Xenopus tropicalis: one gene and its partners. The protein of the gene in region 1 binds, or shares a complex with, the protein of each later gene. Links are inferred from orthologs where the notes say so. Each region holds a gene or a part of one and is shown in the gene's direction. Other genes may lie near its edges.

The links.
Region 2: lsm4 (region 1) and lsm7 share a complex: the UniProt entries of both Homo sapiens proteins name them as parts of the precatalytic spliceosome. The link is inferred for Xenopus tropicalis from reciprocal best matches to the Homo sapiens genes LSM4 and LSM7.
Region 3: lsm4 (region 1) and lsm5 share a complex: the UniProt entries of both Homo sapiens proteins name them as parts of the precatalytic spliceosome. The link is inferred for Xenopus tropicalis from reciprocal best matches to the Homo sapiens genes LSM4 and LSM5.

What each region holds. Positions count from the first base shown.
Region 1 is NC_030677.2:103,369,242-103,372,741, forward strand, and holds part of lsm4 (U6 snRNA-associated Sm-like protein LSm4), read left to right. Parts: intron 1-326; coding exon 327-368; intron 369-1,423; coding exon 1,424-1,522; intron 1,523-3,500. UniProt on the Homo sapiens protein: Plays a role in pre-mRNA splicing as component of the U4/U6-U5 tri-snRNP complex that is involved in spliceosome assembly, and as component of the precatalytic spliceosome (spliceosome B complex).
Region 2 is NC_030677.2:92,742,502-92,746,592, reverse strand, and holds the start of lsm7 (U6 snRNA-associated Sm-like protein LSm7), read left to right. Parts: upstream 1-1,291; 5' UTR 1,292-1,317; coding exon 1,318-1,323; intron 1,324-1,527; exon of another isoform or gene 1,528-1,542; coding exon of another isoform or gene 1,543-1,614; intron 1,615-2,386; coding exon 2,387-2,477; intron 2,478-4,091. Other genes in the region: sppl2b (signal peptide peptidase-like 2B), read right to left, coding at 512-559. UniProt on the Homo sapiens protein: Plays a role in pre-mRNA splicing as component of the U4/U6-U5 tri-snRNP complex that is involved in spliceosome assembly, and as component of the precatalytic spliceosome (spliceosome B complex).
Region 3 is NC_030682.2:61,893,525-61,897,626, reverse strand, and holds the start of lsm5 (U6 snRNA-associated Sm-like protein LSm5), read left to right. Parts: upstream 1-1,302; 5' UTR 1,303-1,419; coding exon 1,420-1,465; intron 1,466-3,392; coding exon 3,393-3,488; intron 3,489-4,102. UniProt on the Homo sapiens protein: Plays a role in pre-mRNA splicing as component of the U4/U6-U5 tri-snRNP complex that is involved in spliceosome assembly, and as component of the precatalytic spliceosome (spliceosome B complex).

The sequences.
Region 1 (3,500 bases):
AGACAATAGATGGTTGCATTGACCATCTAAAACACAGTACTCTGGTAGCTGCCATTGTTTATTACTTTGGATATTCCAGAGTCTTAATTTTATCTGCGCTGTTACAAATGATTATGTATTTCCATTGAAGTCTAAGGAGACTGCTTCTGAAAAAGATATGATATGTGGAGAATCATTTCTGCCACTGTACGTCATCTGACAAACACCAGAAAATGCTGTGTTACTAAAATATGTAAATATGTTTCTAAAAACAAAAGCAACAAAAAAGATACAATGCACTTTTATATGTGGGCTACAATGTTTACTGAATACTCTTTGTTTTTCAGTTGCCGTTATCATTGTTAAAAACTGCTCAGAATCACCCAATGGTAAGTTAATGGGTTGTAACTGAATTTTGCCAAGTACCTTTATTATGGAACTATATTATGTACATTTTCTTTGCATGTAAGAGACATACTTTAATTTAAAACACTTTGCATTCTTCTTTTCATAGTACATTTCTAGTTATTGCAGGAAAGAGCACAGATCCTTAACTAAACAGTCACCACGTGAAGGAACAAAAATTGTTATATCTGCCACACCATATGAAACATCGTTACTAAGTACAACAGAGATGTTTTTTCACTAAGCGGCTGTTTTATTTTATATGGCAGTGGGTCCCAAATGCAGGTACACTGCAGTGTAAAACGTAAATGACTTTGACAGGAATCGGTGAAAAAAATATGTGCTTTTATCTTGCTAAAGAATGTACCAATTAGATTTGGGATTATTGGGATTAAATCCCAACCAACCATAGATACAGCCAACACGAAACAAGAAAATCTAACAATCACAGTCATCTGATGGAGTCAGCCAATTTGAAGTTTGCAAATGTTGGTGTCTTTTAATTTAATAATTGCTTGGGACATGCACATGCTTTCAGTTGAGGAGACACCTCTCATCCAGACAGTCTTATTTGATTTTCACTTAACTGAGCGGATTTGACTAAATAGATTTGAGTTTTACAATTTTCGTGAGGTGTGTGTGTGTGTGTATATATATATATATATATATATATATATATATATATATATATATATATATATATATATATATAAAATAAAGCAGGGATACATATGCCTCAGTTTATCTTCTTTTAGGGCTTACAGAAAGAGTATTACACCTTAAATACTATAAAACTATAAAATAAATCTGTTGAATCACCTATCAGTTTGAGTATTATTCAGATGTGTATGTGTGTATACATGCACATACACAAACACACTTTACACCGTTATAAGAAATATGATAGGCTAATATGTATCATGCTTTTGGTGTACCACGATTGTTGTTAAAGTGAAACCAATTACATCCTGGTTCAATTTTATACTTAATGTGATTGTGTGATTAATTACTCATTTGACACTGCTTTTTCGATTTTCAGTTGGTGGAATTAAAGAATGGTGAAACATACAACGGTCATTTAGTGAGCTGTGACAACTGGATGAACATCAATCTAAGAGAAGTTATTTGTACTTCACGGGTATGTTTTATTTAACTTGGGAGAACTTTCTTTGATAGCAAGGTGTCCACTATAATAATAATAAATAAAAACTACAACTTACACTGGGTTAATCAGCACCACTGATTGAGACTACTTTTCTATTTTTTTTCAACAGTGGTATATGTTGCACTTCCAATCACCATCCTCTTAGTACAGCTTAGATTGCTTGTTTGGCTTACAAGATTCAGTACTACTTACAGGGTTTGGTTTCCTAAATTTGCCTGTCATTTAGTTGCAGTACCTACTTTTATATCAATATATGCAAGTAAAATAGCAAAGTGCCACTATTACTTATTCCCCTTAGTGCAGTGCACCATTTGTGTAATTAGCAATTGTCTTTTCCTGTTCTTCAAAATTGCTCTCTCCTGATCACTCCTGTGTCTGACTTCCATGTCCCAAGTGCAGTTCTTGGCTTAGTTAGATGCAGTGCAATCCTCTGAAAAATGTGCAAGAAAGTGTCAGGGGTGAAGCATGTGGTGGCCAATGGGCATTCCTCTGCCAGCTGAAATATTAATTGATTGCAATGTTTTCAGCCATCTTTTATATGTTTTGTAAATAAAATGCTACCAGTCCCTACTTTATACATGCCTTTACTATCCCCAGAAGCCCAAATAAAAGAAACTTCAGGTATTTAAAAAAAAAAAAAAAATGTTGTGCTTTCTTCAAAATAAGTCACATTTTTAATAGTGCAAACCTTTTCCTGAAAACCCCAAGTTCGACAAGCATTTAATATAATAGATCCTATGCCTGCATAACTAATCTGTAGTAATTATTAATTTTTATTTAAAGGGAGCATTAATATTCTATAATACATAAAATCACCTAATACTTGCACTTGTAAACCACATGCTGTTTTGAAATCAGGAATCTTATACATTGCTAATCCCACATGAGAGTGGAGAAGCCGCATGCTGAATGTGTTTTTTTTGAAGAAAGCATTACAGCATCTTGTTTTGTATCATGTTATGCTTGGAGAAAGGAATATAGCACTTAACACACAGGTAAATCTGTGTATGTATATTTCCATGGTTCTGGACGCACACAGAATTGTTTTGCAACACCCAGGTGTTAACAATATTGTACTAGGTTCTGTTATTTGTTCTTTTCCATAGCCTGTGGCATTGATCTTCATTTTGTCTTGAATTGGTGATTCAGTGAAGGAACTGTGAAACAGATGGGCAAAGTAAAAATTCTGAGGGTTTACTTTCCCTTTCCCAAAAACTGAAACACTGAAAGAATTTAGTAGAAATGCATGTGTTGTTTTGAAGGATATTTTGTTACGGAAAAGTTGGAATGATATCTGCAAGCTTGTGATAGTCCCATTCCTTTAACTGAACTGATCTGTAAATTTGAAATGTAAAAGTGCAGCACAGACAGCTGGCGAAATACTCTCAGAGAAGATGAAACAAATACTTTTGGCACATGTTAAAACACAATCACAAGCAAATTGCTACAATCTGTTCTTGGATACATTATACTAACCAAATGTAAATTTGTCTCTGAATAAGGTCAGCACAGTGCCTTGCAAAAGTATTGAGACCCTTGTCCAATTTTTATTAACTGGATAACAAAGCCAGCATTGACATTTTGTTTTGGAAATGTAAGTCTTTGTGAGATTTCTCTCTTGCAGCTTAAGCCTTTTTCAGGTGGGTTCCAGCTCTGCATATTTTTGGGACATATTTTGACCCATTGTTTTAACTAGTGTACCCGATGTTTAGTTATATTGAGTGATCTGTTAAGTGGGCCTGTTGTCGCATAGTCACTTTTTAATTTTTGAGTCTCGGTGTTACTTGGAATTGTTTCGCCTAAACATTATACCTGTGGCACACGGTGAATATTCTCCTATTAGCTGAACTAATTTACCTAAATGACTCGCTGCACAGGCATGTTTTGGTACTTCCCTGCTGGCTGAAAAACATGTTTTAGCAGCCTAAAATAGGTACTCTTGCAGTTCAAG
Region 2 (4,091 bases), about 11 Mb from region 1:
TTTAACAAGTCATAAATCATGGTCTGCTATATCATAACACATTTTCAGAGTTAATTGTACTACATTTCTTGCCCACCATCACTTGGAAGTATTCATATTCTTCAGACAGAAGAACACAAAGTAGGGCCTACAACAGACCCTATATCTCAGATATCAATACTGGCTCAATCAGGTCAATTCGTAGCAGGAAATATTTATTCAACAATCTATACGAATTTAATGACTGTCACTAGGAAGCCCGTGACAGCAAACTCCAGTTAAATATTTAAATACTGCGTATAGGAAGCTTCTGGGGATCAGCAAAGCGTGTGTACACAGAAAAAGTCAGGAATTCGGAACAAGGTGGAAAATCATGGATGGGCGGGGCTTTCAGAAGGTATAAAAAAATTAAAGTGAATTTTCGAAAAACAGCAGCACCTTCAATATACAGGTGGCAATGGCGAAAATAAGGTAAATAAAACGCGTAAAAATGATGTTCTGCATTATGAAAATGTAATTGAATATCACTCACCTCTGTTACAAACAAACCCCATAACAGGAAAATCAAAAGAAGCTTCATTTTTCCAGGTCACGAGCCTTAGCAAAGCAACACTCAAACCGCCAAGCACCATTTGTTAACTGTTACTCAGCGCCATCTCCTGGGCCTGCGCACTACATCCAAGTCTTCAGGTTATCCTCCCATTCGCAATGTATTAGTGACAGGTCCCAAAGGCCAAGCCCCATAGTAGAGCAGTTCAATAGAAAGCTGTAATGAAAATGGTAGATGACTACAGGATGTGACGTAACTACGCACGCTACACGCCATATTTGTTTATGGAAAAGTGATTCCAGAAAAAAGTGAAAGGGTGAAAAAAAAAAAAAACGCCCGCCCCACAGGCATAATATTTTTTACAGAGTGTGGGTAATTCAAAATGACTTAATCCATCATATAATTTTGCGATTTGTAGACAGAAAATAAGTTACCATTCACAACTATTTATTAAATTAGGGTTATACACCTAGTCACGGCGACATTATAATTGTCGAGGGCAGTCAATAAAGCTATTTAAAAAAAAAGAGAAAAAAAAGTAGACTCTTCCAAACCAGTTAAAGTCGTAGGGGGTGTGAATGAAATTCCTCAGTGAAAATAAAAAATACATAGCGAAGCACTTTCTTAAGAAAACTTTTAACGTGCTTAACTAGTTTAGTCTAGTACTTCATAAGGATGGAAGAGAGAAGTTAGGAGGAGCAAAAAAATTAATCATAATTAGGTGTACAGGTGCCCCCAGAGCTGATTAAAATGGGTACGCCTGCCCCTAGGAACAGAGGCGCGGGAAGATGGCGGTGAGTGTGTAGAATTTAGTGAGCTTTCGTCCGGTAGAGTTGGTCAGTCATATATAGTGGATTATGGAACGTTTTTTCTTTTTATTGCGTAGCGGGTACCCATGATTAGAACATATTGCTAAAGACTGTAAAACAGTGGGAGGTGATTAAGAGGAACCGTAATTATGCGTCCTATCACATCCACTTAAGACGCCGCGCACGCGGCAAAGTACTCATGCGATGAGGTATATTCGCAGCCGTGTGTTTCTTCTTTTTATGAGCTGGGTTATCCAAAGTGTTGTATATAAAGTGGTCAGTAAACAACTCTTAATTATATCCGAATTAAATGTAGTTCCAGGGAAGGAGAGGCAAGGAGCCCTAGGAGAGTCATGATACAGATCTAATGACAAACTGATCAAAACAATTGTTTGAATGGTGCTCCTTTCCCCCCCCCTCTTAAATGAAGACAATACCCCCCATACATTGTAGGTCTCTATAAAATATATTGCATGAACAAGCTGAAATGTAAAACTCTGCTTTATCTAAAACCATTTTCATAAAAATATACTTTTTTTTTTTTTTTTTTAAGCAGATTGTGCTATTGGGTACTCCTAAGTAGAAGATAGCCATTTTAAGAATTAAGGATTGCATAGGATTCACAGTGTACAAAAAATGCAGAGACACACACACACACACATGCTAGGTCACATCAGCCAATGAATGGACATAGTTTTGTCTTTTGCTTCCAAACCTTTCCCTGTTAGAGCTGCATTATTTCTGGTCATGTGATCTCTGAGGGAGCACACAGCCCATCACTAAATGGTGGCTCAAGGGAAAAGATATAAAAGGCCAATATTTACAGATATATTCCAGTTTTGCGAGATTCTTTAATAGGTCACTTAACATAACCAAAAGATTATATTTGTTTTTTATTAAGTATTCATTCTGGGGGTATAGTTTTCTTTAACCTTATCTGAGCTTTAAAACTTTTGGAGCCATATTTTCTCAAATCCTCTTACTATATAGCCTAGTATTGCTCTTAGCAGCTCTAAATGTATAAACATATTTGATTGTTTTTCCCCAGGACAAAGAGAAAAAGAAAAAGGAAAGCATTCTAGACCTCTCCAAATACATAGACAAGGCAATTCGAGTAAAGTTTCAGGGTGGAAGAGAAGGTATGCTTTCTAAATGTGAATTTCTAAAGAATTCTACTTTGCCATGCATTCTTAAAACAATTATTACTACAAAGTACTGCTACTAAAGCTTTGCCATACGTTATAAGATTCACTTGTTTGACAAGGTCGCTGAATGAGTGTGTCTTTCACTGATATGGACCTTAAGGTGGGCAAAATTGGGCTGATTGTATCAAAATTGTCTCTATGCAGGCAAGTAACTAGGACTACAGCAATCACAGATGTAGTCCTTGATTCAACAGGAAAATCAAACCTGCAATCTACATTTTGTCTGTATACAGTATGCTACAGTATGCAAGACGTGGCAGTTATGCTGTAGCTTAAGTACTTGAATTACTTCCAGAATAGTTGCTGTGTGCTACAATTTCAGAGATAAGTTAGTAACTTAGGTTGGAACATATTCAGAACATATTCAACCTTTTATGTCTAAATGAAACCTTTCTAACTGCTAATTGCTCCAGTTTTGTAAATTCCCACTATTGTTATCAGATCACATGAAAAATATGCACATTTTTAATAAATCCAAATTGTTAGGGCTGTTTATTTGCAAAGTGATTGCATTTTAATTAATGCAGCTGGATGTTCCTGACTTGTCTCTGATTTTTCAACTTTAGGTCTTCTAAGGTAAAGACCTACATTTTTTCATCTGTGCATTTCTTTGCAGCAAAAGATACTATCCTTTATTTTGTGCAATAGAAAATGGAGAGAGGTGCTGCAGGGGTTGCTTCCTCCTTAGGCAGCAGGGCTGATGTTCCTTCCCCAACCACCCTCACTCTTTTTACTTTTGTGCATTGCTTCCCCTGGTAGCCTGCCATACACTGCCATTGGTTGGCAAGTTTCTCACATATTAGGCACCCACTCCTAGTAAGTATAATTACTAACTTTCAAACCCAAGCCAGTGCTCCTCCAGCCTGGAGTACATTCCCTGTAAGTGCCGCCATCTTTTATCAGTCTTCCAGGATTTTTTAAAACCCTGCTTCATCTTCAGTAAACCTTCATCTAAATAAATGGTACAATCCAAAAGTTACGAAATTTTCGTATCCGAACGAAACAATCCGGCGCAAAAAACTTTCTGACTTTGAACCTTCAATGCATGATTTTGGAAGCCTCCCACAGGACTCAATGGCACTCTGCAGCTTGAATGAATTTCAAAACTTTTGTAGTCGTTGCGATAATTTCGATTTTGTCTCACAAATTTATTCAAAGCACAAAAAAGTTGCGGAAATTAACAAAAATATTGTGGAAAATACACAAAGTTCTATAAATTAGAAAAAATACAAATTTTTTGTAATCGTACCCATTCAGACTTTGATAAATCTGCCCCAGTGTGTTCACATACTTTTTTTGTGTGCGCCACAATTTGTTGTGTGTGTAGGGCTTAAAATGTATGTGTGGATCCTCCTCCAGCTCTAGGTAATTTTAATAAACCAAGTGCATTTTTCATTTTAAATATTTTTATTCAAATAAAAAATCTTAATGTATAGCCAATGCATAGGGAAATGTAAAGGGAGTGATTCTTATTTTAAGGGGAACACCTTTTATTCTGGTTCTCAAAATTATTGTCCAGCAGTGCTAGCAGGAACTTTGTATATAAAT
Region 3 (4,102 bases), on another chromosome or scaffold:
AAAGTTGGATTTTTATTTTGTTCATGCACTTACATCTGACAGTCAATGTATTACATTGAGAGAAAAAGAAGTCTTTCCAACACCATCAGTTTTTATCCTTGTGGCTGCAGGAGCAGCATGCAGCATTCCCTTCCGACAGACGTGGTGTTGGATGGCAAAAGTTACTACCTCACGTTTTTGTATCAGTCATTATATTTTGACCCACGTGATTACCAATCCACAGGTAAGCCCTTGACATAATTATTTGCTCTTTATCTCAAAGCTTAAAAAAGGCAGCAGTTGAGAAAAACTAAATGAAGGCTTAGGTAAACAGAAGGTTTCTAAGTGATCTTAGCAGGAAGTTGGGAACTGGTTCTGGAAATTTCAGAATGTTAGGTTTCAAAACATTGAGTTTTAGTAAGCAAATGACACACTGTCACTCTACATGCAGAAATCTTGAAATTAGGTAGAAGTTTTAATGACAGTTACAAAAACTAAACTTTTTTGTAGCAGCAGAGACTTTGAATGAATCATGCTGAATTTTTAAAGTTTAAATACAAGTAGTTAAAAAAAAGGTGACTAATATCAATCATCTATGGCCCTCAACACTATGCTCATGTAATGTGCAGGAACCAAGCAAACTGTGCAGTTGTTCAACACCTTGGAGGGCAGGCAAGCAGCATAATGCCTCTAAAGTACAGTATCAAGGGGTGGCTTACAAATTCTTGTCCTCTAAGATAAAACAATATTTATGAGTTTTGTAATTGAACACTACCCTACAAAAAATTAAAACAGAAATATATAATTTTCTGGATAAAGTATATCCCCTATAAATGCTAATGTTTAGGTACAGAAGTGACTGCAATCCTTTCCCCTTTTAGTTAAACAAAACACAGGCCAGAGGTACTTTCATGCCTCCTAAGAGCTGATTCAAGCTGAGCACCTGCTACATACAAAAACATCTGAAAAAGTTCTATACTTCGAATGTACTCGTCTAAGTTGGCACCTGGGCCCCCGTAATTTGTTCTGTATTGATCGGGGCTCCTATTAATTTACCTAAACGTGAGTGGTTGAAGTGGATGGTTAATATGCTGTACAGAGTCCAGAGCTGCTGGTTATTCTACATCTGACAAAATACCCGGCCAATTAGCAATCGCAATGAAGCCAAGCCGATTTTTTGAACATTCATTATTCTGGCGCAACAACAACTTTTGCAATCATTGCTTTGAAACATTCTTCTAGCCACGCCCACGTCCCCTGTTCGCTCTCTTCCGCCATATAAGGCCTTTTTCTGCTCGTCTGTTGATTAATCTTCCCTAACCAGGAAGTTTTTAGCGCTTGCGCTCGACTGCATAATGAGATCGGCAATCGATTGCTCTAGGTAGGTGACAGCGGGAGATTACGAAAACAGGAGGAAATCCGAAGTAAGGAATATCAAAGATGGCGGCTACCGTGACTCCCAATCCGTCGCAGCTTCTCCCGCTCGGTAAGGACTCTAGGAAATATGTGACTAGATCTATTCCAGTTCGAGACCTTTAGTGTGCAGTTACTAATTGGCTTTTATCTTCAATGGCGCTGTCCTATTTCATGCGACATGCTTTCTTTGAACTCATATTTGTTGTAGAATTCTGATATGTATGTGGCTTACTAGGGTTGTGAAGTACAGATGTAGTGTACCTGGAGTTAGCACTGTTGCTTGGGTTAAACAGCACCTGCTAGGTGACGTGCTTTAGGTTATCGGGCAAATGATGGAGCCGCATGGCAGCCCTGCGTTAGACAATTTATATTTTATACTGAACCTTTTAATTGTAAGCAGATAAAAAAAGAACAGAATTATTTTCTAGTTGATTTTTAGTTTACCTAGGAAAACTGTACATCATTCTTTTCTTGAGAACCTGAGCTCTAAATCTGAGTTTTTGTGTATTTCCACTTCTGGAACAAGATTTAGAGCTCTAAAGGCAAATAAAAGAAAAAAAAAAAAATATGATTATAGGGATTTATACCAGAAAAATCTTTTATTTTATGGATAAAATTTCAACTTATTCAGAAAGCCTAATATCTCTTGAATGTGCCTATACTAGGTATGTATAATTTTATGGAGATGTCTGACTTCTATAGATCGAAAACTCCCAGCAGTAAGTTATTGAAAAAAGTGTTACAGCAGAATAGGGCATACTTTAGATTCCATAGCCAAAAATCCTGAAACATTAGGTTTACCCCAGGATACCATTTATATTTTTTAAAAGTGCACATTCAACCAAATCCGAAATAGATAACCGTGTCTTTCTACTCTAAATGACTCCAAGGGGCTGATTTACTAATCCACGAACGGTCCGAAAGTGTCCGAATGCGTTTTTTTCGTAATGGTCTGTATTTTGCGATTTTTTTCGTAAATTGTCGCGACTTTTTCGTAGCCGTTACGACTGTTTCGCAAATTGTTGTGACTTTTTCGTTGCGTTACGACTTGCGCGAATTGTCACAACTTTTTCGTAGCCTTCGCGCCGAGTACGAAAGTTTCGGATTCATTCAAGCTTCAGTATCGTGACTTTTCTTGGGCCAGGTTGGAGCTGCAGAGTCCTATGGGAGGCTTCCAAAATCATGCTAAGTCTGAAAGTTTTGCCCGCAGTTTACGAGCGCTCAATACGAAAAAGTCGCGACAAGATACGAGCAAATCGTAACGGCTACGAAAAAGTCATGACAATTTGCGCAAGTCGTAACGGCTACGAAAAAGTTGCGACAATTTACGAAAAAGTCGTAACGGCGACGAAAAAATCGCAAAAAATACGAAAAAGTTGCAAAATGTTCGTTTTCCAATCGGAATTTTTCCCATTTGGATTCGTGGGTTAGTAAATCAGCCCCCAAGTGTCCGAGATGAAATAGAAATGTTCATCTCTGATACTGGCTGCTGCAATAGAAGCACCCGGTATGTGTATTATGTACCATAAGACGTCCTAACAATACGGAGCCCCTCGAAAACCGTATATTTTCCGAAAGTACATATTTTTATTAAGGCAAAAATGGCTAAATACATCTTTCTACTGCAAACTACCAAACAAAACTATGCTTTTTTTCTTTTTTTTTTTTTTTATTCCTGAAGGTTTAAATCAGTGGTTTTCAGACTTAGGTTTAGTCGCCCTCTTTCCTTTCAGTTATGCAGCTTAAGATCCAAGTACATTCAAATACATTTTTATACTAAAATGTGCTTTTAGTCTGAAGTTCAAAAAATATTTGACAGGCGATAAGTATTTACCACCACAATTTAGAAACCTTTGATTGTTCAAGTTTTACTTTCAAACCTAATTAATATATACACAATGTAAAATTATTTTTTGTATTTTAACATGTATTTTTACTTTATTTTTGCCTTATTTTAAAGTGTATTCTTAATTTTTTTTTTATTTCTGATCTTGCAGAGCTTGTGGACAAGTGCATAGGATCTCGCATTCATATTGTTATGAAGAGTGATAAAGAAATTGTTGGAACACTTCTTGGCTTTGATGATTTTGTCAGTATCCTTTGTCTGCTTACGCTTAGTTTTTTGTTTATTGCTTCAGTTATACTAATTTAGAATGTACCAAAATAAAATACCGATTTACCATCAGCAATAGACTCCATTCAGCATTCTAGATCAGCGTTTTTCAACCACTGTTTGTGCCGCGAGATGTTGCCTGGTGTGCCGTAGGCAGGGCCGCAATTTTTACTTTAAAAAAAAAATCCGGGCCCTGTCATTGGTTGCGCCCCGTGTGTACGGGTGACGTCAGTACGCACGGGGCGCAACGTTATAAAAGGGCCTGTGTGCGGTCGCGTGTAGGCAGAAGTGCAGAGGCGGCGCGCGTGAGGGGAAGATGCTGCTGAAGCCGCCGAAGAGTAAAATGCTGCTGGGCACCAATGTATTAGGGGGGGCCACGGGGCACACTGACTTATGGGGGCACTGCTGCTGGGCACCAATGTACTAGGGGGGCACTGCTGCTGGGCACCAATGTACTAGGGGGGCACTGCTGCTGGGCACCAATGTACTAGGGGGGCACTGCTGCTGGGCACCAATGTACTAGGGGGGCACTGCTGCTGGGCACCAATGTACTAGGGGGGCACTGCTGCTGGGCACCAATGTACTAGGGGGGCA